Danio rerio: one gene and its partner. The protein of the gene in region 1 binds, or shares a complex with, the protein of each later gene. Links are inferred from orthologs where the notes say so. Each region holds a gene or a part of one and is shown in the gene's direction. Other genes may lie near its edges.

Region 1 (16,207 bases):
CGTATTTACTATAATAAAACCATGTTTACCAATTTAAAAAAAAAAAAAAACGACAACAATTTATGAGTTTTGTTTTTGTGGTCTTTTTGATTCATACTATAGTGAATTACTTGAATTAATCTGTTGTAGTTATTCGATATTTGCAATTGTAATACAACAACTATAGTAATATAATGAAATTACCCAACAGCTAAATTACCTACAACTGGATATTATGCTGGGCGATGCAGTGGCGCAGTAGATAGTGCTGTCGCCTCACAGCAAGACGTTTCTGTGTGGAGTTTGCATGTTCTCCCAGCGTTCGCGTGGGTTTCCTCCAGGTGCTCCGGTTTCCCCCACAGTCCAAAGATATGCGGTACAGGTGAATTGGGTAGGCTAAATTGTCCTTAGTGTATGAGTGTGTGTGAATGAGTGTGGATGTTTCCCAGAGATGGGTTGCGGCTGGAAGGGCATCCGCTGTGTAAAACGTGCTGGATAAGTTGGCGGTTCATTCCGCAGTGGCGACCACGGATTAATAAAGGGACTAAGCCGAAAGGAAAATGAATGAATGAATGAATGTACAGTATATTATACTACAATATACCACAGCTGAGTTAGAGTAGATTAAACGGAGTTTAACAGGTCACTTTATCTGTAGCATTCATTAACAAAGTTGTAAATAAATACTAAAATATATACAGTAAAATCCATTTCACTACATTATGGTTCAAAAACACTATAGTGTTTACTATAAATTGCTATAGTATTTCATCATGTGACCAAATTGTATAAATATTTTAACACACAGATATGCCCTAACAGCTTCACAAAACACATTCAGTTCTGTTTCAATCTATCTATCTATCTATCTAATATATATATATATATATATATATATATATATATATATATATATATATATATATATATATATATATATATACCTCCTTCAGTACCAAAATAACCTCATATCCAGTAGTTCTGACGTCACAATCCATTCTTCCAGTGATCTCGAGACTGAATTACTGCAACATCCATCGACCCGGATTCTTCACAGCCCAAATGAATAACTAACACGGCTGATAACACGTAAATCACGGAGAAACCTCATGTTTGTCCACACAACACCTCAAGAAACATTAGCTTGCTTTATATCCAGAGAACATGAAGATACGTCGCCGTTTTCGCGTCATTGAGACGCCACATGCATGTGCACGCGCTTAAAATGTGCACTCACTCACATCGGCAATAATATGAGGTGATTTCGAGCATTAGCATTCTGTACATTCTGTCCTTATACTGCAGGCTAAAATAAAACTAACAGAAAATCGAAGCGTTTACATATCCTACTTTAATACCGACGATAGCCTATTAAAACGAACAAGTGCTTACCGGAGCCAGTTCGGCGTTGCTCAAGGAAAGAAGTGTTTGTCGTTGTATTGCTCACGTATTTACAAAGCAAATGTCAGGACATGTCTTTCATGAACCACGGATGCTGAGGAACGTGGATGTAGCTTACACACACACGCACACACACCCTCAGCATCCCGGGACAGTGAGGCGCTTTATTAGTTTTTTTTTAAAGAGACAGTCCAACACCAGGGCATCTGGTAGTAGAAATTTATTATTTAGATTTTTTTCTCAAAAAACAAGCAAACAGATGTTTTATTTGGTGGGAATACCACCAAATTAGCATCTTAAAAAATTTAAATAATTTGAAAAGACAAATCTGTCTCTTAAAAGGAGTCCAGCTTCACCCCAAAATGAAATTTCGCTCATTTATTTATTCATTTTGCTTCAGCTTAGTCCCTTTATTCATAATACTTATCATAACTTATCAACGGATGCCCTTCCAGCTGCAACCCACCACTGGGAAACATCCATACACACTCATTCACACGCATACACTACGGCCAAGTTTATTCAATTCTGTGGGGGAAATTGGAGCGCCTAGAGAAAACCCACACCAAAACAGTGAGAACATGCAAACTCCACACAGAAATGCCAACTGACCCATCCGAGACTCGAACCAGCGACCTTCTTTTTGTGAGGCGACAGTGCTAACAACTAAGCCACCGTGTCACCCAAACTTGCTCAGTCACTCACCATTTACTTGTTTCCGACCTTTATGATTTTCTTTCTTCTGTTAAGCACAAAATAATATATTTGGAAATTATATTCACCTCCCGGTATTTGTTTTCCTTTTGAGGTCAATGGTTGCAGGTTCAGCTTTTGTCGAAATATTTCCATTTTTAACAGAAGAAAGAAACTCACAAAGGTGTGGAATTACTTGAAGATCAATAAATGAAGAGTATTTTTCTTTTTAAGTTATCCTCAAGTCCCAATTGCAGTTTTTGTTCTCACCAACAGGTTGGAACATTTATACATATGCTGTGGGAAGGAGAAAAAGTGTATGAGTTTTGGAAAAAACGTCATGATTATTATCTGAAATTATAGGAAAAGATGGCGACGTAGTGGCGCAGTAGGTAGTGCTGTTGCCTCACAGCAAGAAGGTCGCTGGGTCGCTGGTTCGAGCCTTGGCTAAGTTGGCATTTCTGTGTGGAGTTTGCATGTTCTCCCTGCGTTTGCGTGGGTTTCCCCCACAGTCCAAAGACATGCGGTACAGGTGAATTGGGTTGGCTAAATTGTCCGTAGTCTATGAGTGTGTGTGTGTTTAAGAGTGCGTGTGGATGTTTCCCAGAGATGGGTTGCGGCTGGAAGAGCATCCGCTGTGCCAAAATGTGCTGGAAAAGTTGGTGACCCCAGATTAATAAAGGGACTAAGCCGACAAGAAAATGAATGAATGAATATAGGAAAAGATATACCAGTGCAACCATATGTGCTACTTTTAAATGATAATTCCAGTATGGGTTTGACAGAGCGACAAAGAAAGGTCTGGTTGGCAGGACTGACAGCTGTAAAAAAGATAATTGCGCAAAGATGGCTTCCTCCGCATTCTTTATTTATTCGGCAGTGCATTTCAGTTTCATGATATAGTATTGTTAGAACTTTCAACACCCAATAAATAAAGCTAGAGCCCCGACTCTTAACGTGTGGAAAAAGGTTGCAGACAAACTGGCAGAAAGATTCAAAGTCTGTGTGGTTTCCTGCTTACTTTTGTTAGTGTATTACTATGTGACAAGAAAATGAATGAATGAAAAATGAATAAATGAAAAACAAGTGAGCAAATTCAGACACTCTGAGTGCACTAGAAGCGGTATTGACAGTATTTAGTGGCTCATTCCTGTGCTAATTGACATTATTGAGTGCACTCGATAATGTCCAATTTGATTTTGGAGACCGTTACAAATGGCTGCTACCTCAAATAGTGCTCTATATAAAGTAACTGCATATTAACATGAATAAAACAATAGTGTTTGTAAGGGTTACAAAAGAATGTTTTGTTAAAGATCTTTTTTTTATATAATTATTTTTTAGGGGTTTTCACCTTTATTGATTAGACCAGGGGTGTCAAACTCAATCCCTGGAGGGCCGAAGCCCAGCACAGTTTTGTTCCAACCCTGCTCCAACAAACTTACCTGTAGGTTTCAAACAAGCCTGAAGGACTCAATTAGTTTGATCAGGTGTGTTCAATTAGGGTTGGAACTAAACTGTGCAGAGCTGCGGCCCTTTTGGAACAGAGTTTGACACCTGTGGATTAGACAGTGGAGATATAGAGACAGTAAAGTGTGGGGAGCAGAGATAGGGAATGGATCAGCAAAGGACCTCGAGATAGGAATAGAACTCGGGTCGCTGCGAGCAGCTCGGTGTTATGTGTCGACGCACTAACCACTAGGCTATTGGCGCCGACGATTTGTTAAAGATCTACTGGTTTTTGGAACGTTTATTAACTTTTGTTTTTATTAGGCCAAATACCAAGATTAAACTGTGGTTTGTGTAGAAAAAGAATGGTTGACTTGCGGTTGCCATGTTTAACTACAATGAATACGTTTTTGTGGCTGTTGGTCTTATTTGTAGTAACAATGGGTAATCAATGCAAAGGACATGTTGTGGTCATGGACAGCACTCGGTTGCTGCTTTTGAGTGGTGTGGTCACATTAGCAAGACTGCTGCAAAATTCTACAGGCAAAATATGTCTTGTTTTATAGTAGTAACAATGTATAAATTACTTTCAAGCTAAGCTTATAAGCAAAGCAGTCAACGAGGCATAACCAATTGAACCTGCATGAAGAAATCTTTGCCATCATACAAAATTCCTGACTTCATGGATTCCTATTGAAATCACCATAGTTCACCCCCTGACAATTGCAAAAAAAAAATACTAAGGTTAAATTGTGGAGCGATTTCTAGTGAGAATGGGCTGTATGCACAGCTAGTGATTTCAGCCAATGATAAACTTTTGGTAAAAGGTTTATGTGCCTATAGACGAATTACCAACCTACGTCACACATGACGTCACACGGGTTCCCAGTTGCAAAAAGAGACTATATATAGTGGCTATAGTAAACATGTTTGTGTTGTGCAGATGCCAAATTTTAAAGTTTAAAAATAGAAAACTTAACATTTACCGTACACCACACTGCTTTTAATGCTAACTGCCGACATCTTTGGCTAAAAGGGAGCTGAATGAAGTGACAACCTAATTAGAAATGCTGGACTCTGCAGTTCTCATGTTATATCAAGTTTACGCAATGCTGAATCATGCAAATTACTCGTTTGTGATTGCAGCAATGATTTCAGCATAAACAGTTAAACATGGTTAATTAAACTGCGAACACTGAATGCTAAGAATAATACGTGAAAGTGTAAGTTATTAAGATAAAGTTGGTTTTTATATTCACATATTCATTTAGTGACAACTTGTGACACACTCCCTATATTGTTTACCACGGCACTTTGAATATTCGATCTGAAAAAGCTGCAAGTGTGACTTGAAAACAACATTAGCACTGTTTATTTGACTGTGAGCAATGTTCTACTTCAATAGTCATTGGCGGCTAATATGATTTTGCTATTTAGAGTTTGCAAATAATACTTTTATAAAATTATATTATTAAGGAGAAAGTCAGAATGTGTGAATATAAAACCAACTTTACCTCTATGTGTAAGTTAACGTTGGCTCCGTCTGCTTTCCTTGTCTTTGGCCAAGCAGAACCTCTGTTTTTAGCACTACATAGTTTTGAATCTGGTAATCATGGAACATTATTTCTTACACTTATTTCTTAATCTTGTTAAAACACTTGGAGCTTCGATGAGAGAGTTGTATATTTGGGGCAGGATGCTTGGCCATTTCGTCTTATCCAATATTCATTGGGAGGGTGCTTTCGCGACTCACATCACTCACTTTAACGTTAATTTTGCCAAATCACTGTACTTATCACTGGGTGACAAGCTGTTATAATACGTTGAAAGCATTATGTAAATCATGCATATATATATATATATATATTAAAAAAAATAATATATATATATATATATATATATATATATATATATATATATATATATATATATATATATTTATATATATATATAATAATATATATATATATATATATATATATATATATATATATATATATATATATATATATATATATATATAATATGTAATCAGTATAACTTACTTCTAAGTCAACAAACTCCGCATCGGATGTCATTCCCTCGCTGTAAATGCTAGCGCTCCCCTTTTTTTTCTGCCACTCCCTGCGCGCGCATCCTGAATGTTTAAAAACATGGTAATTCGTCTATAAGGTTCCTTTAATAGCATCGATGTTGTAATGTAATTGAAATACAATCAGTTTAATAGACTTAATCATTTATTAAGTTGTTTAAGTGTAAAACGAGATGAACGATTGCGTAAACGCAAGTGTCATCAGTAGAAGCGTGCTAGTGCAGAAACTCCACAGAAAATACATTTCCATATTTTAAAGACATAACGCAAGAAATCAACTTAATGCAGTACTTCTTGTCCAGTCTAGACCAACTTTATTTCATATATCAATCAGGAAGTAAAGATCACATTAAAAAAAAGAATTCAGATCTTAAAAGTCAATGTACATATACTCAATTTAATTGGACAAAATCAGTAGTGCAGGATGAGTCAATATTTTTGTTTGTTTTCTAGAAGCCGCACTAGATCACACACACTACACAATCTAATAAAAGTTACAGTTAGCAAACAAATGATTGTCTTGAACTAATACACAATCTAAAAGCCACAAAACGACATTTTATTTGATTGTGTGTTAAAAAAATTAACAATGTCTGATAATGGTATTCCTCATGGTACTGCACAATTTACTTGTTTGTAAAATTTCCCTACCGTCCATCGGTGGACCTTTATTTTGAAATTTCCGGAAGTCTTGGTGCAGTGAGTTGAGCTTCACTCTCTCGTTCCCCTCAGCGACTCTGACATCATGGCGGACGCCGATTCTTGGGGTGAGAATTTCTTAAACTCCACCGTTATCTTTCTCTTCTATTCGCTTGGAAACATATAATCTTTTCTACCAGATAAACGTACGCCAAAAATACGCCTGTCATTAAGTGATCTGTCTGAACAATCGGTCGTTTTCCAGATGCGGACAGTTTCGAGCCTGAGGAGCCCATCAAAAAGGCGGCAGTTCATGACAAATGGGAGGGCGAGGATGAGGACGACGACGTGAAAGTTAGTAACGAACCCTTAATTTGTCGTTCTCAAGTAAAAAAAACTGTTTTAACTCTTCTTTAATCCCTACATATCAAGACATTACAGTTGGCTAACTTTAGCTAGCTACTCTTGCTAACTCAAGAGTGTCAAAACAACGTGGTGATAAGTCCTAATACGTGTCTATTTAGTTTGGTGTATACCTGCTTAAATACGCTGTCATAAGTTAAACAGTGAAATTATAGTAATTATATGAGTCAGTTCCATTTCTCTAGGCCTTTAATTACAATTAATAGTTTTGTTAGTGTAGATGGCCTTTTGTAGCAGCATGTCACTGTAGATTGTCACCTGTTGATTATTTAAAATTATTGGATCATCCCAAGGAGATTTCATAAAAGGAAAGTTTGAGAATGTTAATGCTTCTCTTAGGCTAGCAACGAAGATGAAGTGGACTAATTTATTAATTAAAAGTATTCTTCCTTTCCATTTAGGATAATTGGGATGATGATGAAGAGGAAGAAAAGGAGGAAGAGGAGGAAAAAAAGACAGGTACAGTGATGTTCATGAGTTGGGGGAAAAGTGCATTGTTAGGATAAAATGGGGTCAAAGGCCAAAAAGGATTTTGAAGCATCAAAGCATATGTTGCGCAGTGACCATGAGGCTATCAGTGAAGAACAATAATAATTTGATGATATATTAAACTATTTAAGCAATCACGTTGAAGCCTCAAAATACTTACTGTCATTTTTAATCTTTGTAATTTCGCCTTTGTCCTTTAAACCAAGTTCAATTACTTATAAAGCAAGTTTTTAAAGTACATAAAACTAACTTTATACAAAGCAAAAATTATTTAAAAATTTTTTTTTTAATAATAATAAAGTATTGAGAAACCAAGAGAAATACTAGAACTACTAGGTTTTATCTATTAGTATCTATTTACCATAGATTTTAATACTTTTAAAAATTCATAAAGTTTAAGTTAATTTGTTTTAAGTACAGGTCAAAATAAGTATACATTACACTAAATGACGAGAAACCCTTTTCACAATATTTCGACATGCTTTTTTCACAAATAATATTTGAAATATTACATCATCTCATTTGACATGCTAACTGTGTATATCTGCACACCAAAATGGGACGTCTGTTATGAATTTTTTTATTTTGTAGTTGGCTCTATAACTAAATAAATCTACATGCATGAATATACAAACTATTTTAAAAATATTTTTTTAAAAGACTGTAAATTATCCACATTTAAATTCACATAATTACAAAGCATCTGCAGGGTCCTAAAAGTCTTAAATAGTCTTAAATTTCAACTACATTTTAGGCCTTAAAAACTCCTAAATTCACTCAAATATTGTGTTTTAGGTCTTAAATAATTTTAAACAGGTCTTAATTTTGTTTTGTCCAAGTAAAGTTACTCAACCGAAATCCATCCAATCATCCACAATGTGTCTCAATAAAACCTTATTTTTTAAATTAAAGTTTTTTTTATTGCAAAAAGATACATTCCCAACAGCTGTTAGCCATTTCTTACAGAAAATTCCCCAAATTAAATGGCCTAATCAGGAGAAAAAAAAACTAAAAATGATTACTCAATTCCTCAGGACAATACCAGGCCATTAGGATAAATCTCAACCCTGCATAAGTCTAAAATGTCATTCTTAATGTCTTAAAGGGGTCTTAAAAACTCTTACATTTGAATGGATGAAACCTGCAGAAACCCTGATCAGGTACTTCAGTTTGTAACGTTTGTATGCGATTTTGTTTGGATTTTTCATATGCAGAGGCTAAACCTACAGAAAAAAAGAAACTCAGTGAAAAGATAAAAGAAAAGGAAAATTTACAAAGGAAAAAACAAGAGGAGCTCAGAAAACAAGTAAGTTGGCGCAGTAACAATTTATTGATATTAAGCACATTTAATTCACATTGTGGGTTTTTATTTTTTTATTTTGCTGTCACTGTTGAAGTTTATCTTGATATGGCTACAAACTTTGAACTTGTATTATAACTATAACCATTCATGAAGGATTTTGGGGTAAATATATCACAGTTTTAACAAAAAATATATAGCTGATTATAAAACATTGATGATAAGTGTTTCATGAGCAGCAAATCATATTAGAATGAGGATCATGTGACTGCAATAATGATCCTGAGATTTTGAGTTTGACATTTCAGGAATAAATTAGATTTTAAAATATATTATAGTACAACAATTATTGTAAATGCTATTCATTTTGTAAGAATATTTTTCATTAAATGTATACAACATTACATTTTTAAAGCAGTTAGAGGAGACAAAAAGAGACACACCACTCACACCAGAAGATGAACTGGCAGAGAAACTCAGAGTGAAACAACTACAGGAGGATTCAGACTTAGAACTAGCAAAAGAGGCATTTGGTGAGTGCTTTCTGTATATAACATGCATCTACATTTGTTTTTAAAACGGATAAAAGATTCAATTCTGAACTTTTATTCTCTCTTTTTAGGTGTAGTTTCAAATAATGTTACCGGAATCGATGCAATAAGTCCCTCTTCGAAAGACGACTTCACAGAGTTCGAGAGGTTGCTAAAAGAAAAAATATCTCCCTATGAGAAGTCTATACACTATTCCGGCTTTTTAGAAACACTGTTTAGGGATCTGTGTCTTTCATGTGAGTATGCTTCATTTCAGCTGACTGTTCCGTCATTCTCATTGTAAATCATGTATTTTGCTGACATTTTGAATTGGTTTTGCAGTGGAAGTTGAAGACTTGAAGAAAATTAACACCTCACTAACAGTGTTACTAAGTGAAAAACAGAGGCAAGAAAAGGTATGAAAACCATTTAATGCAACAATTACCAGATTTCCTAAATAATCAGGCATGATATTCACAAATTACATCTTGCTATTTTCTTTTAAGTGTTATTAAACGTTACTTAGCTGAGTTTGTGTGCTGACACCTTGGATGCTTTAGGCCTGGTGTAGATAAATAATCACACCATTTAAAACCACCAACTAGTGCTGCCAAGTTCGTGTTTTAGTTAGCGATTAATTGAATTTCTCTTTCAAAATGGCAAACAAAGCAATTCACCCTTCGCTATGTCTGACAAGCTTTCGGTATCGGCCATAGCACTTCCCTATCAATTTTGTACTCTCCAGGGAAATAGTGAATGATTTCTGGGAAAATTACATGATGAATTCAGGCAGACGTAGACAGTAAAGTCTGCAATTTGCATACAAGGGACATATGTGAGAGTAACTTGAAAAGAAACCATGGCTGCGTCCGAAACCGCCTACTACTCAGTAGGTACTGCATTTGAATTTAAACGTGCTACTCGGCCGTTAGAAAAGTACGTTCTATACAGTATGAACGTGAAAAGTATGAATGGAATTCGGACAGACTACATCCGCCATTTTGTCATGGTCACGTGACCTACCTGCGTCAGTTGCGTCGCTTTACTCCCATTCATGAATTCGCTCGCGGGGCATCATTGGATAGCGCAGCATGCATGGGATGCGCACTCTAGAATCTCGCCGGAAGTAGTAAGTCATCCGGGTACTTCTCGCATACTGATTTTCGAATTCTATGAATTCGGACATACTACTCGGTTTGCATACTGATTTTAGCGTACTATATAGTTTGGAAGTATGCGGTTTCAGACGCAGCACATCTAAAGATTGAATCAAGTCTAGTGATGGGAATTTTGGGTAATTTTAAAATCTAGTTTAAAAGGGTAAATGTAGACCATTTCAATATGGTCATATCAGTCGCCCATAAACATTTCCTGCTGGTTATCAAAGTATTTCATAACTATAGGCAATTCAATCATAAGTTCATGTTAAAACGGCTGTCATAACATCATCTATCAACATGTGGCTCTTTTTGGATTGTCGAAAGCTAAATGTAAAACAGGAAATACGTTGGGAAAATGGTTTTTGTTTACATTTGTCAAAATGGTCTATAGAAGCTCTAATGTCGTGTTCACACTAAATGCAAAGAGAGCATTCAATTCATTCGCTCTAAATTACTTGTGCGATAGTCTTCATTCATTCGCACAAATGTTTTTATCATCACAAATGATGTGAAGAACATCCTGTGAGTATAGACATGGATATAAACACATTCTCTAAAATGCTGTTGTGTTTGGGTTTATGTCACCACAAAGAGGCGCACAAACCTTAATGAATTTCACCATCTTCTAGAAGAAGTAGGGTCTGTGTGTGGACTGCAAGACCGGGGCGTAACTTGTGGTAGAGGCATAACTTGAAGTTATGAAGACCCACATGTCAAAATGTACCAATCAGTTATTAATGTCTACTCCACACCTAAACCCAGCCATCACAGTTAATAACGTCTATACCCACCTAAACCCAATCATCATCATTATTAACGTTTACACCTTCCCTAAACCCAACCATCAGTTATTAACGTACAGCTGCGAGTTGCGGAGACTGTCATATTTGATGTGCTCGCCATTGTACTGTTTTTGCAACCACAGAAGGCGATGCCGAGTACTGTCATGACAAAACGGATGAAGTCGGCGAGTAAGTTGCATGGTGGAGTTGCTAAATGAATGTAATAATATATCAAATGAATAGGTTGTGGATCAATTCGGAGAAAGCTCATGAAAATGCTCTCTGTTAAGTATTTTTGTCATCTTGTTACATCTCGCAATGGGATCTCGATGACTGTAAGTTACACCTCTCTAACTTACTACAAGTTACGCCCCTCCATGTTACACCTTGTCTTGCAGACAGATACACTTGTCTAGAACTGCATCTGAGGTGTCCAGTTTCATGACTTGCTAATACTGGCATCTGCTTGCGACTTATATTAGAAACATTCCCCCAACCGGCAATATCATAGCCAGAGGCCCATGCAGCAGTGCATGTTCAGCTCCTCTGCTTGTATCCCCAGCATCACGGACAGGCAAATTCTTTACTTGTGTTGAGTTTTTTGTATACATTGCGCATGTTCGATGCAAAGCATCAGTCCCAAGTTCATCCGTTTTGCTGTTTATCGGTAGCCGCATTTCGAGCCACCTGTTCAACAAGTGACGGAACCGTGGATGCAAAGGCCATCCACACAAACAAATCCGTTCGATTCAATTCCACGAAATCGATTTTGTGAAAGGGTTTACTTACTGTCTGTGCTGCAAGTCCCATTCAATCATTTTCCTTCGGCTTTGTCCCTTATTCCATTTGATTTATGTAGCGGATGCCCTTCCAGCTGCAACCCATCACTGGGAAACACCAAGTCACACATGCACACACATACACTGATTTTGGCCAATTTAATCTAATCAATTCACCTATAGCGTGTATCTTTGGACTGTGGGGGAAACCCACGCCAACAAGGGGAGAACATGCAAACTCCACACAGATTACTGTGTACCTTAATATAAAATGTGTTCGTAATTGTTTTTTCCTCCTATTCTATAGGCAAACAAAGGTAAAAAGAAAAAGAAGGGAGTTTTACCAGGGGGAGGTTTAAAAGCCAAGATGAAAGACGATCTGGCAGATTACGGCGGGTTTGAAGGCGGTTATGCACAAGACTATGAGGACTTCATGTGACCAAGGCTTAACCCAACTCTAACTTTTTTTGCTGATTGCTGAACCACACACACCTTAACAGCATGACCTTCTCCCACTGTCAGGCCCACAACCAGAACATGCTAAATAACTCTGAACGTCATCCACGCAATGCACACTTTCCCATCAGAGAGTACCAATAAACTGCGCTCTTTTCCCTCTGGCCTGTCGTGACTTTAGGTTGGAATAATAAACCCGATAAAACAAATGTGAACCTGCAGTATCAGTTAATCCCCACAGCCCTGGCTTAAACAAACAAACAAACAAACAAACAGTGTTATTGTTCGGTATTTCTAGGAAATAAATGACGCTATGCAAAATTCAGTCCGGATTGATCTCAATGTCATTACGCGACATTAACCCTTTATTTGTCTACGGGATGTTCCTTTTTGCAAACCAGGGCGATTAACTCAACCCGAAATGTTGATATCGAAGTCACGTGGTTTCTAAATCATGTGTACAATCACGTTTATTTTGATCGTAGGCTATAGTGAGCTCATTTAGATAAGTCAATCTAGAGTGTAGCGTAATTAACGTGAGCATAACGCATTGACAATAACGCCTTTACGTTTGTAGCTCGTAATGCATTCCATGTGTCTCAGACCAAAAGCATTACTCTGATTTGTTTTCGTCGCAGCGGTATTTGGATTACCTCAATTTTTGCAGAGTGAATTACGCAAATATTTACAGATATAACATTATGCCGTGGTTCATTTGAGCTCAGCCATGCTAGCGTGATTTCACACACACGCTATGCTGATGTATAAGGGACTGAACGTCGATGTAGGGTCTTTTCAGCCGGCGTTTGGCTTTCCATTTTATTGACAATTCGCAGCGTGGTAGAGATGCTTCATAGAGGCTTACGATCAGCAAAGCCGATGATAGGACTCTGCACTGTTTTATAAAGATCTAATTTAATAAAAGTTGCTTAAAATCCAGCAGTGGTTGTGTGTTCTTTGCTTTTTTTGGTAGTGTATTTTTAGAGCTTGTAGATTCTTTCTGAGGGCTAGAGACAGGGTTTATACGGTCATGGAAAACCTGGAAAAGTCATGGAGCTTTGACATGGCAATTTCCAGGCCTGGAGAAGTTTTGGAAAAGTCATGGAAATTAGTTGAACAAATATCTGTAAACTTGAATTAGGGCTACGCGATATTGGAAAAATCTGACATTACGGTATTTTGAATTTCTGTGATTTATATATTATGATGTGAATACAATTTCATCAGATGATTTAAAAGGAATCTCGAATAATATATAACAAATAAATTACAAACATAGATCAATAACGTATAGTAGAGATAAAAGTGAATGATAGTTTTCAGGTATTAAATAATCAACTATGCATAGTCTTTATTGTATATTAGTTAATCTTTATTAAAGTTACAAAACATTTCGGTAACACTTTATAATAACTACGCACTATAAATCATTTATTAAGCATCAGCAAATAGTGAATTCATTATCTGTTAAGCATTAATAAACGTTAGTAAGCAGTTTATAACTGCAGCTACAAATGCTCTATTCTTGACTTATAACCACATTTAAAATGTGCTTAATAATTGTACTTTTGTACTTAGTAAATGATTTAGCCTCCTCTTTAGAGCATTCCACTCTCATGCAGGAATTGCTGGTTCGATCCCTGCTTGGAACTGGACCAGTGGGTATATGATGAATGTAAATACCTTGGATTTTACTACAGTCATCGGTGGTTGTAATGTAGCTTACCTTAAGTGTAAAAACAGCAGTAAATGAGTAATTTGTTTATATTACTGTTGTTGTATTACTACATGAATGAGTTGGGGTCCGTTCTTCTTACCTCGCTTAAATGATCTAAGATGATTTGGCAGATCCTGGATCTTTTCATCTCGATAACTGACCTCTGGCTAATTTGGTTCTTCAAACTCGCGAATCAGATTAGAATGTCTGGATGAACTGATCTGAGATCACTGGATGTGTTGTGAAGGAAAGAACTATCGATCATCGAAATCATGATCAGCAATGCAGCGATTGGCTGACGGCAGCGTGATGACATCAACTGATTAATGTTCAATTATCCATGTGAGCAAAATTACATCAAATTAGAGGTAAAACGTTTGTTAACTATGACACGCAATAACCTTCCACATTTGTTGTGAGCTGCAGGCTTTACATTTTCATGTGTCAAGGGTATTCATCATGTATTTCAATGTATTTAGTTCTACATTTAGAAAAGATTTTCTTTATTATAGTCGCCGTTTTTTAATCGGTGTAAATAATAACTTGATGTTTACAAAAGCATTTTGATATTGGTAAAGGCGTCTGCAACTTTCGTGAAGCATCAAATCACCGGCATATTAACTATCAAAACATGTTTATGACTGCATAAATGTATTATTGCGTTTAAAAAAAGTCACATATTATGCATTTCTATTATACACAATTTGTTCTAAAGCGATCTAGAAAGTTCATACCAGTAAGTTTTCTCTTTGCACCACCAGGTGGCAGACTTTGTACTTTCATTTCGAGGGTGAAGATTGCATAAGTTTTATTAATATGTATAACTTAATATGTAATTAATATGTACTAATATACTTAATATGTATTCATATGTATTTATTTTGTTAATAACTATAACTTTATAGTTAAAAATAGTTACTATTTTTCACGTGTATATAACTACTACTGTAAGAAAATATCAGCATTCGGTACATACTTTCAGTATTTTCTTTGCATGCACTGAGCCGATCTAATCCTGTTTATATGAATTGAACCTGCTGCCGAGCAGGTCTGATCTACCAGAACTGTTGCTATGACAACAACTCTCGGATCAGCCTTGAAGAACGAAACGATCCTGGATCGTGTCAAATCGTCAATATCCAAATCCAGCTAACTGAGTAAACCCTTGGTCAGTAGTGAACATTTGAAATTATTGCAACACAATGCTTTCCCACACTTTAACCAGAAGAGGTCCTCATCGAGCTCTGATTTAGAAAGCTTCAAGTAACGAATATTTTTCCGATACAATTGAGTCGAGCGCTTTAATGGTTCAGAAAGCTTCATGTCACCATCACTACCTTACCGTCCTAATTAAATCATTAAAAATCAAGGCATGATCTTATTTTATTTTGGTCAAATAAGCTAAATATAGAGGCATTTGCCTTTTAAGCTACGTCTGATACCAAATGAGCAACTAGAAGTCAAGTGATTATGTGTTGCTCCTAAAACTTGGATAGGCGACAAGACTTTTGTCAGGTAGTGTACTTTTTAACTAGTTTCATCATCTAATATTTTACAATCTGAAGTAGACGTTCATTAAGGATAAAGCGGTCAGGGGCGTGACCTTTGAGACTGTTTGAAGAACCGTTCAACAGAAAACCGAATGCCAGACGGAAACTGGTGTTTTATGGCGCAGCAGCTTATGAAAACACGCGCACACAGGTCTTCTCAGATAACCTGCCAATGTCCCAATCGTGTCCTTGTTGCTCGTGGCCGATTATCTTGATCGCGCCGTCAATTGCACCTGCTGCTATTGGTCATGTGACCTGCGCACAAAGGGTCCAGTCTTTTCCCCTTAGTCCAACTCACTGGTTTTCCAACAAAAAGGAAAACAACAGAGCGATTGTAAAGATAAGACTTGGGGATAATTAACAGCAAATCCAGACTCAACAAACGTAATCCATTGGTCGTGAAGGAGGGAGGAGGTTTGCTTTTTCTTGAGCGTTCTTGGTTTTGTGGGCCGTTATATAAAAGGGGTGTACGGTTGAGGTCAATCCGTCTTGGGTAACATGCGTCCATGCATCTTGCTCATCTTGTGGATGATAACGGCGGTGGAAATGGAGGAGCAGAAGATCCTCCAATCCTTGCACTGTCCGCCCTGTGAACGCATCCACTGTTCCCCACGTCGGGCGCTGAAGCTCCAGTGTCGGGGTGGCATCACCACTGGGATTTGTGGTTGCTGTCCGGTCTGTGCTAAACTGGCAGGGGAAAACTGTGGAGGGACTTGGGATTATCTGGGGAAGTGTGATGAAGGGCTGGTCTGCATTCATGAAGAAGCA
Region 2 (15,593 bases), on another chromosome or scaffold:
TGGGCCGTGCCATGCCAATAGCCCAGGAGCATGAGCAGTGAGGCTGAAATCATGTCGCGTTTGCACTGTCGGGCTAGTAGCTCGTAGTGCATCACTCAAATCCGGCCTCCAGAATGTCCCTCGAATACAATGTCACTCAACCCGCCCAGTTCAGCAGGAATCAGGCAGGCAGATCGCATCATCACAAAACAATTAAAGTGGAGACAACTGAAACAAGCATATGACATGTTACTGTACAGCATTACGTTATATGTCTATGCGCACAGGCCTATGTATTTGCATTAATTTTATTTGTTTACTCGCCGACTGACTGTTGGCATCGTGCATCGAGTGGTCTCGCCACTAACGAAGGGATGACCCAGCGGACTATCCATAATATAAAACTGCAGACATTTTCCGGTGATAACTCTGTATAAAATGTATTTTATAACATCAACATGCACAAACACATCTTTTAAACTTGACCAAAACTCTCGACAACTAAAAAATACTGGCGGCTGTGTCTTTATTATAGTGTAGAACTCAAAGTAGGACGCAGCAAAGAATTGCCACATATAAATTCAAACTACTTTATTATTTTATGCAACAGCCTTACATTTAAAAGGGAACCATAAGGGCGATCATAAGCAATAAGACCCCTTGCCTATTAGGTGTTTTATGGAAAAGCCTATCTTAAACTTATCAGCTATATGTTTTTCTTTCCCTTATTTATTTATTTGTTTGGCGCATGTACTCGTGTGTGATCGAAAACTAGTGTAATGGCGGCATGCCATCTTAACCAGACTCAGGCAAACTCTTCTTCTTTCATTCCACACGAAGTCCCAGCAGGTTCCTTTGGCCCAAGGTATTCGGTGGCCTGAAAAAGCCCAGCCGCTGGCTTTGAGGAAGCCCTGCTTTGGCTTAATCAGGCCCCGGAAGTGACAACGGAAACGCGACAGGCTCGCTCGCTTTAGGCGTGATAGTGGAAATGAGGCTATTGGCTTTGATGCATTGTTAGATTTTCATTTTTTCTCTTTAATTTTATTGTTGGTGGCTGTTTTCCCCACATTGTCTTCCATTATAATCACTTTTGCATAAATGCACAGTCTTTGTTTTTGTTTTATCCATGTAGAGCTTAGATGCATATTTGGATTTTCTCAGACATATCAAGGTAAGTGCGCAAAGACACACATACCATCAACAATCAAAAATGCTTGGTTATATGGTGTCATGGTTTTGTAATCATAAAAATGTGGTTATGATGGTCAAAGTCAATAGGGCCAAAACAGCCACAAACAGTAAATTAGGGAAAAAGGAAGTCAATCAAAATCAATGCATCATGCATATTTATATTTGTTTTATTAAAAACAAGCTTAGATTTGTCCACCTGTCAGGTTTTGGACTGTATGGTGCATAGCATGTGTATTTGAATATAACTCAGTTTTTTGACCACACTTTGTTATTTTGTTCAATTATTCGTTTATAAGAAATTAAACCTAAATTTAGAAATAGTTTTAAAACAAATCTTCTCTGCAGCTGGTCTGCTTTTTCTCGCTAGTGAAGCGTCTGCCATGTAAATAGCAAATGCGCCATGGTGCGATGAAACTGACTCTTAAAGGAATTTGGATTTGAGACTCTGATTGGTTTATTCTCAAAACACAGCTATAACTCAATAAGAGAATAAGCTCAACCCTGTTAGACCTTGTGCCTCGGCGCAGAGTGTATTTTTCCATCCTTAAAATAGCAAAAGTGGATTTTGACACGCCCTTAATGCTTTTGTGCCCTGCGCTTCAGACTTTGCACCTAGATCGTTAAAATAGAGCCCTTTATATTTTCACTAAATCAGTGACATCATTTATGAATTTTGCAATTAAAGAGTTAAAATCCTGTCATTTTCTAAGCAATTAGTAGTTTTGTTCAGGGTGATTTTTTTTTTCTTTTCTTAAATTAAAAGCATTTTGTGTCATAAAAAAAAATTGTCAACAAAAAGCATTCTGCTAGCTCAAACACAAAACATATTATGGCCAAATTAAGACTTAAACTCACCCCAGAGTGGATGAAAACATCCCTAACAGCACATAAGTGTTAATATTGTTTCATTTATGAGGAAATAGCTATGTTATGAATGTGAAAGCTCTTCGTTATGGATATGACTTGGCCCACACGGAATCTGCGCGCGCAGAATTCCGCAGATTTGCCGCAGATTTTCCACAGAATTTCGCAGATTTTTAACCCACTATTAATTCTGTTTATTTACTTTAGTAAATGTGTACATCTGAATTTATTCAGTTTTTATTCAGTAATTTATTACTTTTTATTTAATTTATTAAGGTTTTAGTTATGAAACTCAGCTGGATACTTCCAAAATAATTCCGCAGAAATTCACAGATTTTTACCATAATTCTTTGCAGAAATAGCAAAAAATGTCCGCTGATTCCGTCTGGCCCTGGATATGACCAATGTGAAATGGGCACATGTGTGACTTTGGTAAATCACACTAATTGGTATTTCTTACTCATAAAGCCTAGAAAGAGTTTCACTATTTTAGTGAAAGATTTTTTTTTTTTTTCATAGTGAAGTTGACATTTGCATGAAATTGCTCAGCTACAAACATTGTCATTCATGTGATTCCCATAATACACTGGATCTGTCCTGTTTGAAGCAGTCGTGGATGTATGTTGAGAGGAATTCTCATCCTTTTCCTTGCAGCCATAGGTCTATTCATCCACTGCAAATCCCTGTCTACTGTAATTTACCGCGGTTTCCCTCTGGGCTTTTTAGAGCATTTCTGCTGTCAGTGTTCAGACCTACAGCTATGAGGCAGCTCGTCTCCTTTCTGAGACGTGGCCTAGTTGGGCCAGAGGGAGCGTTCAGCATTCAGACCTGTGAAAACATAATCTACTCTGTCTTTTACACTACCGGCTCAGTTTTACGCTTGAGGGATTTGTGTATATAAAATTTGATTTGAACCGGAAGAACGAATTTGCACAAAACAAATTCTCAATTTTCACTTGTCATGGAAATATGTGTGTCCTAATAGTGTTTATAGCAATGTGGGACATACAGTTGAAGTCAGAATTATTTGCCCCCCTGAATTATTAGTCTCCCTGTTTATTTGTATCCCTAATTTCTTTTCAATGGAAAGAAGATTTTTTCAACACATTTCTAAACATTATAGTTTTAATAACTCATTTCTAATAACTGATTTATTTTATCTTTGCCATGATGACAGTAAATAATATTTCCCTTGATATTTTTTAAGACACTTCTATACAGCTTAATGTGACATTTAAAGGCTTTACTAGGTTAATTAGGTTAACTAGGCAGGTTAGGGTAATTAGGCAAGTTATTGTATAACGAGGGTTTGTTCTGTAGACTATTGAGAAAATATATAGGTTAAAGGTGCTAATCATTTAGTCCATAAAATGGTGTTTAAAAAAAATAAAACTGCTTTTATTCTAGCCAAATTAAAACAAATAAGACTTTCCCCAGAAGAAAAAATATTATCAGACATACTGTGAAAATTTCCTTGCTCTGTTAAACGTCATTTGGGAAATATATAAAAAAAAAAGAAAAATTCAAAGGGGGCTAATAATTCTGACTTCAACTGTGTATATATGTCTGTCAACATCTCTAAAAATGTGTTTTAGGGTTTTGTGACCCTTTAACAGAATAGTGCATTTTTATACGCTGTAATTGAGATGCTATTTGTTTTATTTTTAGGTTTTTATTTAAGTAAAAATCTGAATTAGATTTGTTTAGTTTAGTCTGGCATAAAGAAAGTTTAGTTTTAGCTATTTTAGGTTTAGTGCAGCCCGGAATTTAAATTTATATTTATTTATCTTCAGTAAAGATATTTAGAATTAAATCTAAATGATTTTGGTTTCTCTATTAAATGCCCAAAGTGCTTTCAAATAAATCTAAATTATACATCCATATAAACTGAGAGGATTAATACAAGTTTTGAAAAAAAACACAGTCACAAAAACATTTAATTTAAGCTTAAGTTTGTTAATTGAATTCGACCAATGCTACTTTATTTTTTGCTATCAGCGGAGGACACATCACATTTTTGAATATATTAAAATATGAAATGTAATAATAGTTCACAAATGTACGTTGTTTACTTAAATAGATATAAATACAGCCATTTTGACTATGAGACCATCAAAAACTGAAAAAAAAAAATATTGAAAGGAAATCAATCAATCCATCAATAGGTACATTTTAATGAGCTTTTGAATGGTAGTATACACACTCATTATATAACATTATATACAGTGAGTGGCTATAGAAAATCTGTAAAAATCTGTATTTGTCATATAGCCTGAAATCAGATTACATTCCAAATAACTTATCCAGCCTTTGAAATATTTTTGTAGCCTTCTCCTAACCTGTGCTTTTCTACAACACTTTTGCAAATTTCTTATGAAAGCAGGGTGTAATGTGGGTTAACATAGATTTTCACACAATATGATTTTCTATAGGCACTTTTCTCTTGAATGGATGTTAGTTATTATTTGTAACTCATAATCAATGTTAATAACTATTAAATGCTGTTGTGTCCAGCAATCTTAGTTAAGTTTTTCTATTATTCATTCATTCATTTTCTTGTCGGCTTAGTCCCTTTATTAATTCGGGGTCGCCACAGCGGAATGAACCGCCAACTTATCCAGCATGTTTTTACACAGCGGATGCCCTTCCAGCCGCAACCCATCCATCTCTGGGAAACATCCACACACATCCACACACACATTCATACACTATGGACAATTTAGCCTACCCGATTCACCTGTAATGCATGTCTTTGGACTGTGGGGGAAACCGGAGCACCCGGAGGAAACCCACGCGAAGGCAGGGAGAACATGCAAACTCCACACAGAAACGCCAACTGAGCTGAGGCTCGAACCAGCGACCAAGTGACCCTCTTGCTGTGAGGTGACAGCACTACCTACTGCGCCACTGCCTCGCCAGTTTTTCTATTAATTTGTGCTATTTGTGTGCACAAATTACACTCTATACTGTTAAAGTTTAAAGAGTCTTATTTTTTTGTATAAAAAATGCTATATAAAAGGTATTTAATAACATATTTAAGATTTTTTTCTGCATAAACAATTATCCAATAAGTTTGTATTAGTTAATTTTAGTTAATGCATTTACTAACATGAACAAACAATGAAAAAAACAATTATCACAGTATTTGTTAATTAGTTAATGGTGATTAATGAAAATACAGTTGTTCATTGTTAATTCATGTTATCTCGCAATGCATTAACTACTGATAACAAGCATGAATTTGGCTGAACTAAGATTAATTAATGCTGTAAAGGTATTGTTCATTCTTAATTCCTATTAGTAAATAAATTAACTACAAAAAAAAAACTTATTGTTAAGTGTGACCAAAATTACTCGTGTTAAAAAGGTTATTTATTAATAAATTAAGTTTTAGACTGGCTGGTTAAAAAAAAAAAAAAATAGGCTCTGTGCTTTTCGGTAGATCATCAACAATACTTGCTCAACTTCCAAACGATTGTTAATGGAGTTTTTTTCTGTTTTGAAGGTGCTGGTAAATGACTTCTTCCTGGTTGCTTGCTTGGAGGACTTCATTGAAAACGCTCGGCTGTTCATCTTTGAGACGTTCTGCCGAATCCATCAGTGCATCAGCATCAGGTAGCGCCGCCTGATAGACTAGTGTGTGCTAATCCTCTTATGCTGTAAAAAGAGCGTAGCATGCTGTGAGGATTCACTGCAATGCCAGGATCAGCGGACTCCAGCCAAGTCTGACAAAAACCGAGAGACCTCACAATGCTGTACATTCTGAAGAATCAGCTGGATGGAGAGTGAGATGGAGATAGATGATAGTACGGCTGGCATATTATTATGTAATTGAGAGAATACTTCTTTGTATTTTTATGTTTTTATTTTAGTGGAAATTTAGTTACTTTTTAATTTTTTGTTTGTCTACAAAGTTAAGTCTATATAAGTCATATTATATTTAGCATTGTAGTTCAGGAATAGTTTAATTTAAGCTATTTTAGGTTTATTATATTCCAAAAATTTTTTTATATTTATTCACTCTCATATTATTCCAGACCCATAAGTTATTTGCTTTTCTTTAGTGAAGCTATTTTTAATTTAATGAAATTTGAGTGATTGCTGTCTTACTGAACACCCAAATGCCTGTTAAGACATCTAAATAATACATCCATATAAACTAATGGGTTTAATACAGGGGCATTGCTAGACATAAAGCTGTACTGGGGCACAGCTCTTCCTAAAAAAAATATATAATTTTATTATTTTTTAAATAAAACAAATAAATTATATATTATTCTAAATGAATAACAGTATTTTTTGTTATTATACAATTATTATTCTAAATAAATAACAGAAATTAATCCTAAATGTAATTGAAAAAATCTAAAGTAAAAACTGGATTGATTTTAAAATCATTTAAGAATTTTTTACAAGAGTATTAATTTAATGTGAATGAAATTCTATAGAAGGCAATTCTCTATAATGCAAAAAAAATGTTTTATGGAATTATCTGTTGTCTTAAGCAGGTCGCACACCAGAAGCGCCGCTCGGCGCCGCGACACGGCGCGTACATGACAGTTTAAAGTATCGCACACCAGACGCGCACATTCGAATGATATTTAACATGAAACTAATCAGATGGCGCTCTGTGGCGCGGCTGAAAAATGAACTGCGTCCTGAGCCGTCGCCGGGCGCCGCCGACTTGCGGCGCCGGTGTGTGTATCCTGATAGAAACCTATGTTTAGAATTCTAAAATACATGGTGCTGCGTGGCGCTGTGCGGCGCGCCGCCGAGCGGCGCTTCTGGTGTGCGACCTGCTTTAGACTCATGGCTGAGAATTAGGTTTATTAAGTCTTACCTCCCTTACTCATTAGCTATGTTTCCATTTGCAAATGCGCATAAAAAAAACAGTTGATGGAAACGCCATGATGCGCATAAATTTTGAAAATGCGCATAAAAAACTTATGCGCCTAACTGGGTAGGATAAACTTTTTATTTATTAAATTAATTTAATTATTAAAAAAGGTCATGTGATTTTGTTAAAAGAGATCATGTGAAGCTTAAAATGTTTGTGAATGGACAAAACATCAGGCTGAGCACATTATAAAACATCTAAAATGTTGTTTTGGTCATTATAAAACGCCTTACCGTTTCAGTTTTAGTGTTATTATATTATTAATGACCTCCAGAATCATGACCGCCTGTGCTCCGCGTCTGACACCTTCAAACGCCACTGCGCGCTCACTGCATGTCAGGATTGTCTTCTGAGGCGCATTCATTTAGAAAAGATTGATGCAGCTTCTCCTACTGCAGCAAATGCAGTTTTTACTGTTGATATTTGGCGCCAGTTAATCGGGAAGTGACGATTTTGTTCGCTTTGACTCGTTGGATGGAAACGGTGCTTCATTCGCACAACTTTTATGCGATAATGCAGTTTTGAGCATAAAGTTCATTCTCATTTTTGGATGGAAACATAGCTACTGTCCCTCCTTTTGCTTCATAGAAAACATTTATCAGGAGCCATGCTTAGTCTAAATAGGATCATCATATAATTTAAACTCTGTTTTGTCAACTTGCAAAACTAACAGTGTGCCGACATCTCCGCATAAAAGACTGTTATGCCGGTAAGCATGAGAGGCGCAAAATCAGCATTGCTATTTTTTCGGTGTGCATGTTCACAACCGGGGCTTTACATCAGTAACAGAGCAGCGCATCAAGCTTGAGCAGTGAGGTGTGTAGTTCTATTTTGTGTGGAGTATTTAGGTTCTCCTTGTGTTCGCGTGGGTTTCCTCTGGGTGCTCCAGTTTCCAAAGACATGCGCTATAGGTGAATTGGGTAAGCTAAATTGTCTGTAGTGTATGTGTGTGAATGGGTGTGTATAAATGTTTCCCAGTGATGGGTTGCAGCTGGCAGGGCATGTGCTGCGAAAAATATATGCCGGATAATTTGTCGGTTCATTCCACTGTGGCGACTCCAGATTAATAAAGAGACTAAACCGAAAAGAAAATGAATGAATGAATGAACATCTAAAAAATAAACTTGAGAAAATCACCCGTTTATGCCAAACTTTGTTCTGTCAGCAGGTTACGCTATGACTATGACTCAATATTGGCATGTAAATGTCTTCAGGAGAGGAATCCCATTGAACCTGTGAATTTTCAGGCAGTGTCCGTGTGGCTGATTTAAGGCTGGTTTATACTTCTATGTTGAGTGGTCAGCGTGACCCACCCTGCCTTCCGTGTAGTTGTGCACTTATACTTCTGTGTGCTGTTTGTGTAGTTACATTTTTGAAGAGGTGCGCGTTAGCCATGGTGAGGGCTATGCGTCTGCTCACAGGCTGCACTAGAGGAAATGTGCATGCTTGACGCAGAAGTCTATATTAACTTTTATAAGTAATTCCTCTTCAATAGCAATACTCTGAATTTCGTCGGTCTGCCATGGACAGGCCCTTCAACGGAAACTAGATCTTTACAATTTCACATCACAAAGGTCTTTGGATTAGATTAATGGTATTTGAATTCGATCTGAGTTTGTTACAGTGTAAAACATGTAATTTCCTGTTGCCAGCAGGTGGCGCTATTACTGTAACTGGATATTGGCATGTAAACGTGCTCAGGTAGAGACTCTTATCAAATGTGTGGATTTTTAGGAAAATCAGACAATGCATGCCTGAGTTATAACTTCCTCTTTCGTTGCGAAACATCAAAGTTTGTGAGAACACCACTGACACACCCTTCGACGAAAACTCTGGATCTTCACAATTATATATCGCCAAGGCCTTTAGATGATAATGCCCTATATTGTTGATGATCTGATAATATCCCTTGGAGGAATTTGTTAATGTGCAATGTCTGGAAATGGCAAAAAGTGCGGAGGAAGTTAAAAATATTTGACTTCCTGTTGGCTTTCGGTTTTCGATTCAAAAGACTTTTTGTAGGTATTGACATGTTTGATGTGTGCCAATTTTCGTATGTGTATGTGAAATGTAGCTCGTAGGGCACTTTGTTGACATTTTTATAGGTGAATCTGTCAAGCTATAATGCCACACCCACTTCCGAAACCTTTATCATAAGTAAATTTTCTGTACTTCTGATGTGTGTGCAAGTTTTTGGGCATGTTTAGACTCTCAAAAATGCAATTAATTCCTGAACAGAATAATAATATAAGGATAATAAACAGAACAATTCCAATAGGGTCTATGCATCACCGATGCTCGGTCCCTAATAATAATAACAATAAGAATCTAAATCTAGGAGAAATAGATGCAACAGAAAATGAAAGCAAATCTAAAATATTTAAAGACTTTCCATTTAGTGAACAGATGTCTCAATTTCTTAATTTGCGTTCTCAAAATATAATTAAAAAAATTGTGGGGTTTGGAGTGATATGAGTGTTTGAACAGCACTATTTGAGCCACATTTTTTATTTTGTTAGACTTTTTAAATACCCCGCTGTCTTCACATGTAGTCATAGATATGGTGGTGCATCCTAATTCATGTCATTAGTTTGTGTTTATCACTCCAATGGATTTTCTGCTCCGAGAGTTTGAGCGCTTGTTTGAACACAAAGAGCTTCATCTCGTTGTTGACCTTAGGCAGTGTCTGTATTTCTCCTTCTCTCTCTCATCCATCGCTCTTCCTGTCTCCGGGCAGCATGTTGGCAGATAAGCTGAATATGACCCCTGAGGAGGCCGAGAGATGGATCGTAAACTTAATCCGCAATGCCAGACTGGATGCCAAAATCGACTCCAAACTGGTGAGTGAGCTCTGGGGTGCACAACACATGTCCAAACACAAAGCCCTTTAGTTTGAGATGCTCTGGACTCTCTCTGACAGTTAAAGAGCCCACAAACAATTTTATTTTACCAAGGAAAAATAAGCCTATGGTAAATTTGTTATAGAAATTAGGGCTACACGATATTGGAATAATCTGACATTGCAATATTTTTTTTTCTGCAATATATATTGCGATATACTGTATCTATGCAATTTCACCAAATGATTGAGTAGCACTATTTGAAAAGTTTTTAATCACAATTTATTTTAAGGTTGAATTCTTGCTATTAGCAAACCATTAAATATGACTTGTTGAATATGTTTCTTTATAATACTATTAATATAGGAAATTAAGGTAGTTTAGGTATTGAGTTAGAAATGTAGAATAAGATCATGTAGAATATGTACTGTAAATTATAAGTGCTAATAATAGCTAGTTAATAGTGAGAATTCATCCTTAAAGTGTTACCAAAGATATTCATTTTGATTGATTCGGCTGATTCTGTCATCCCAATAGGGGAGCGAATCATGCATAAAATGTAATAAACAAACTACAAGCACACATAAATGCAATAATGCAAAGATAAAAATGAGATAAACAGTGCATGCTTTATGGTTTTGTATATTGAAGTGTAAAAAATACACTGCAAAGTCAACTCAACATTGCATATCTTGCGATTTGACTATTGCGGATGCACACATTGCGATTGTGATGTTAAAACAATATATTGTGCAGCCCTATTAGAAATATAATTTTATTTATTTATTTATTTTTTAAATAGTGCTAAATCAATACTTTTATATTGGTAAAAGTGTCTAAATTCATCATGAAATGATATTTAAAAATAAAAAAAAATTAAAGAATGGCATTATTGTTATTATTTTGGTAATTATTATTTTAATGAACAATATAAGTTTAAAATATATATAAATAAAATGTTTGATGACATTGGATAAGGATTGGCAATATTGTGTGTGTATTCATAAAAATAAATATAAATATATGGTGATGCGGTGGCGCAGTAGGTAGTGCTGTTGCCTCAAAGCAAGAAGGTCGATGGTTTGAGCCTCGGCTGGGTCAGGTGGCGTTTCTGTGTTCCCCGTGTCCATGATGTTCCTCCGGGTGCCCTGGTTTTACCCACAGTCCAAAGACATTGGGTACAGGTGAATTGACCCTTCGTAAAGCCTCACCCAAAAACCGCCATCCATGAATCGTGGCTTAGCAACCGTAGCTACATACAGGGGCTCTGTCAAGCTTTCGAGGGAAACAGACCAAAGCGTTTTGCATATGGATTGTGCAAATCTGATACTCGGTATCCTTAAAGTTTGGACAGGATGGTGTAATTTTTCCCTTTTCAAAACCAAAAACCCAAGAGGAAATTGCCAGCGTGGATCAAGCTCTGTGAGATGCACTAAAGGAGCAGAGTTAGGTTAGTTTTGTTTTGATATTCCTGACATATAGTGATAGATCGACAAAAATAGCTCAAACACCTCTAACAGATCTCAACTGTTTCCTACAAAAACACAAAGCAGGTTATGTTTCACAGCTGTCTTTTTCTTTTTCGCTCAATATTATGAGTAATGCTCCGTTTAAGCCTTCGCCATAGTAACTTAGTCATACTAATGGCAAATAGGTCATAATGACATGAGTTATTGATCCGGCAAATATGAATCTGCGAATCTGTTACTAACTTTTCTGAACTTCATATTTCCATCTGTTTCAAGCTACGAATATTTGAAATTACAAATCAACAAACAAAACCGAGATAAGATCACAAACTGAGCACTTGTGATCAATATACTTTACCCCCAGCTGTTTTTCATTAATTTATAAAAAGCACACAAACATACTGACAGTAATAGGTAACTTACTGTACATTGTTATGGGTCAATGATGCTAATATTTGGCCATTCTGGCTGTTCTTTCTATGAATGAAAGATGTAGAAGCACTGTCCATGCGTGTTTCCTCATCGGTAAGCTGCGCTATTTTTTCATTGCAAAACATTTAATCTATCAGACTTTTTGGTTAAAAGTAGAGAAATCATGGTTTAATTTGTTATTATTAGATTATTTTCAATTTCACCTCTCCTGCTGAGCATGAGTTAAACTATCAAATGGTCAGCATATGAGGCGGCTAGGCTAATTTAGCTTTAATTTTGATTGAATTATTTTCTAATCGGTTGCCTATTATGTCGTAAATATACCCCTGTAATGCATACTGCAGTTCTTTTTGTCTGGCTTTCTCGGATATCTCACCTGTTCGCCAAAAATGACATTGTATCTCTGGCAATGTCTGACACCGGCGCAAACACATTGTAAAAGTCATGCCAGGCATGAAAGCTTGACAGGCGTAGCAACAGAAACTAAGGAAGGCGGGGCTTAACAAAGGGTCAATTGGGTTAGCAAAATTGTCCATAGTGTATTTTTGTGAATGAGGATGTATGGGTGTTACCGGTGATGGGTTGCGGCTGGAAGGGCATCCACTGTGTTAAACACGTGCTGAATAAGTTGGTGGTTCATTCCGCTGTGGCAACCCCAGATTAATAAAAGGACTAAGCCATATATATATATATATATATATATATATATATATATATATATATATATATATATATATATATATATATATATATATATATATATATATATTAAACAGCATAATAAATAATTAAAATATATATAAATATAATGATGGAATCGCAATATCATTCATTCATTCATTCATTCATTTTTTTTCTTTTTGTATTTTAAATGATTAAAATATATTCAAATGTAATATTTGATGATAATAAAAAATAGCATTATTATAAATTTTTTTATAATTATTGAACAGCATAATAAAAGGTTAAGTATATTCCCACCGTATATTCAGTCTTTGTTTACCCGCTGCCCAACTTGACTGTTTCCGCTAAATTTAGATCTGATTTGCAAAATTTCATGTTAAAATTGGGCACTACCAAAAGAGAGAGATAACAAATAACAGAGTGTGTTGTGAAAGAATTGTAGGCTAAATGTCAGTTTTGTTTGCCTCTCTGTGATGAGACATGAGTATGAAGGTAAATCAGTTGCGTAACTCGAGAGCTTGCAAATGTAAATGTGAGCACTTGTGATAATAATATTTGTATGTGTAGGTTGAAATGTACACTTACAGCTCTGATGTGAACAGCTGAATCCCTCGATTTGCACACACACACAACAATCCACACACTTGTGTTTTAAATTAGAAGTTGCAGATTAATAGTTGTGTATTTGTAAAATGTCATTTACAAATACAAAATGACAGACACACGTGTGCACGGCAAATTTGATTGCATCTTATCTCTACAACCACAGGTCGGCACTCACAACCTCTCAGTTTTGTCAGTACAACTACAAATCTCCCGCGCTCTGACTTTTGCTACACATCTCCCGCGATCTCTGTAGCAGAACTCATCTGTGCACTCGCAGATGCAGAGGCGTGAGCAGCGCGGGGCGGGGGAGGGGCGGGGCAGGTGTAAAGCTGTTTGATTGGCTGATGCCTGACCAATGAACAATGCCAGCAGCCAACAGGACTGAGGTGCAAAAGAATCATTTCCCACGATTATTTTATTATTTAGGGTTTATTTCAACTCTTTTCTGAAGAGATTCTTGTTAAAAATCATTAATTTTGCGGAAATGTACATACCAGTAAAAGAGCAGCAAAGCCAGTTTATTGGCTAGAGCCAGCCAATGAGATGGGGCGTTTCTGTTTGTCAGCAGGGCAGCTCACGTTGTTGGAGGCCTCGAGCAATCAGAGGGTAAGTTATGATTTTTTAATAATTATCTATATGTTCAATACTGTTAGCTAAGCTAAGGACTGTGCTAGGTGCTTCTCTAGTTTGTTTTTTTATATAAGAAACAGTTTTGAGTTATCTAGGAGCTGCTTTCAATCATGTTATATCGTTCTAAAGATCCGATTCAACCCACATGAAATAAGTTGTAATAGTATTTATAGTAAATAATATTACGTTTTTGAACCATACTAACTATAGTAAACTGTATTATATTGTATATATTGCAGTATCTACAACTTTGTTAATGAATGCAACAGCACACTGTAGTATTAACTAACATGAACTTTAATAAATTAAAGTATATTTACACACACATTAATAGCAATTAAAAATAACACTAGGCGTTTCAGTTTCTCACTGATTATACCGGTTTTTGTTATAATAACCTGCATCATATCTATCTATCCATCTATCTATTTACATGTTTGTGTACAGTGTGTCCTTTATTTCACTTTTTTAATTATGAAAGTTACTAACTATAGGTTATTTCTCAGTTTCCTGTAAGGATGGAGTGACAGGAGAGATCAGCATGTTTCAAGTCGATGAGGAACTCAGAGAAGCTGCATAGCTTGAATAGGATGTTATTTATGCTAAAGATGACATGATGATCCAGCTCATCTACAAACACTTCAAAATGATTCAGATCATTCAAGAGGAAGCCGACCATTTGTTTTCTCTTTTTACCTGCCAAGATGATTACAGATTTAAACAAAACATAAACTCACCAACACACAACTTTTATTTTGCTAATTGTTTAATGTAGTATTTTTACACTTTACTGTAAAGTAGGGCTGTCAAACTTAGTTCCTGGAGGGCCGTAACCCTGCACGTTTTTAGTTTCAACCCTGCTTCAACACACTTAAGTGAAAGTGTCAAACAAACCTGAAGGACTCAGTTAGTTTGATCAGGTGTGTTTAATTAGGGTTATAACTAAACTTTGCAAAGCTGCAGCCCTCCAGGAACTGAGTTTGACACCTGTGCTGTAAGGGAAATGTTTAACATTAATTTGTGAAATAAAATTTACAGTGCAAATAAGTGCAGTGCAAATGTCTAGTTACTTGTATTGAAATATTTCAGGGTTTTTCCTTGTTCATAATGAGATGGAGGTGGTAAATCCAACTTCATCATTACCCATCAAATGTTATCTCCTCTTTAATCCTTTGCTCAAACCTTTAGTAATGGGCAAAAAGCAAGCCATTGTGTAAAGCTGGTTGATGTAAAGCTCGCTGTAATAGAGAGAGATGATGACTGTTCAGCTTATGTTGCTTAACCCTGCAGATGAGATGCTCAAAGTGGACCCTCAGCCGAGCGATGGACACTGTCTCCCTCACCTAGTTGCTCTTCCTTTGAACACACATATCATGTTGAAGGATGCAAGTTGTGGACCTAAATCAGATGTAATGGATGTAGATGTATAAATCAGAAAGAAATGAAACTGCTTTAAAATGTATTAGGTTTTACATATAAATACGTGTTCTTAACAGATTTGTTTCAACTTGATATTTGCATAATAAATGACATTAGAATGTTTAGTTTTAAACAAATAGCTATATTTCAATCTTATCAAATTTAAGCTATATATATATATATATATATATATATATATATATATATATATATATATATATATATATATATATATATATATACTTCAATTTATTAAAGTTCATGCTAGTTAATACTACAGTGTGCTGTTGCATTCATTAACAAAGTTGTAGATACTGCAGTATATACAATATAATACAGTTTACTATAGTTAGTATGGTTCAAAAACGTAATATTATTTACTATAATATTATTTACTTATTTACTAAAATACTATTACAACTTATTTCATGTGGGTTGAATCGTATCTTTAGAACCATATAACATGATTGAAAGCAGCTCCTAGATAACTCATAACTGTTTCTTATATAAAAAAACAAACTAGAGAAGCACCTAGCACAGTCCTTAGCTTAGCTAACAGTATTGAACATATAGATAATTATT

The links.
Region 2: eif3ja (region 1) and eif3eb share a complex: the UniProt entries of both Homo sapiens proteins name them as parts of the eukaryotic translation initiation factor 3 (eIF-3) complex. The link is inferred for Danio rerio from reciprocal best matches to the Homo sapiens genes EIF3J and EIF3E.

Annotation. Positions count from the first base shown.
Region 1 is NC_133200.1:34,318,424-34,334,630, reverse strand, and holds eif3ja (eukaryotic translation initiation factor 3 subunit J-A), read left to right. Parts: upstream 1-6,267; 5' UTR 6,268-6,359; coding exon 6,360-6,381; intron 6,382-6,518; coding exon 6,519-6,607; intron 6,608-7,077; coding exon 7,078-7,135; intron 7,136-8,379; coding exon 8,380-8,471; intron 8,472-8,880; coding exon 8,881-8,998; intron 8,999-9,087; coding exon 9,088-9,252; intron 9,253-9,337; coding exon 9,338-9,411; intron 9,412-12,023; coding exon 12,024-12,155; 3' UTR 12,156-13,111; downstream 13,112-16,207. UniProt on the Homo sapiens protein: Component of the eukaryotic translation initiation factor 3 (eIF-3) complex, which is required for several steps in the initiation of protein synthesis.
Region 2 is NC_133194.1:25,036,192-25,051,784, reverse strand, and holds part of eif3eb (eukaryotic translation initiation factor 3 subunit E-B), read left to right. Parts: intron 1-5,539; coding exon 5,540-5,649; intron 5,650-9,668; coding exon 9,669-9,771; intron 9,772-15,593. UniProt on the Homo sapiens protein: Component of the eukaryotic translation initiation factor 3 (eIF-3) complex, which is required for several steps in the initiation of protein synthesis.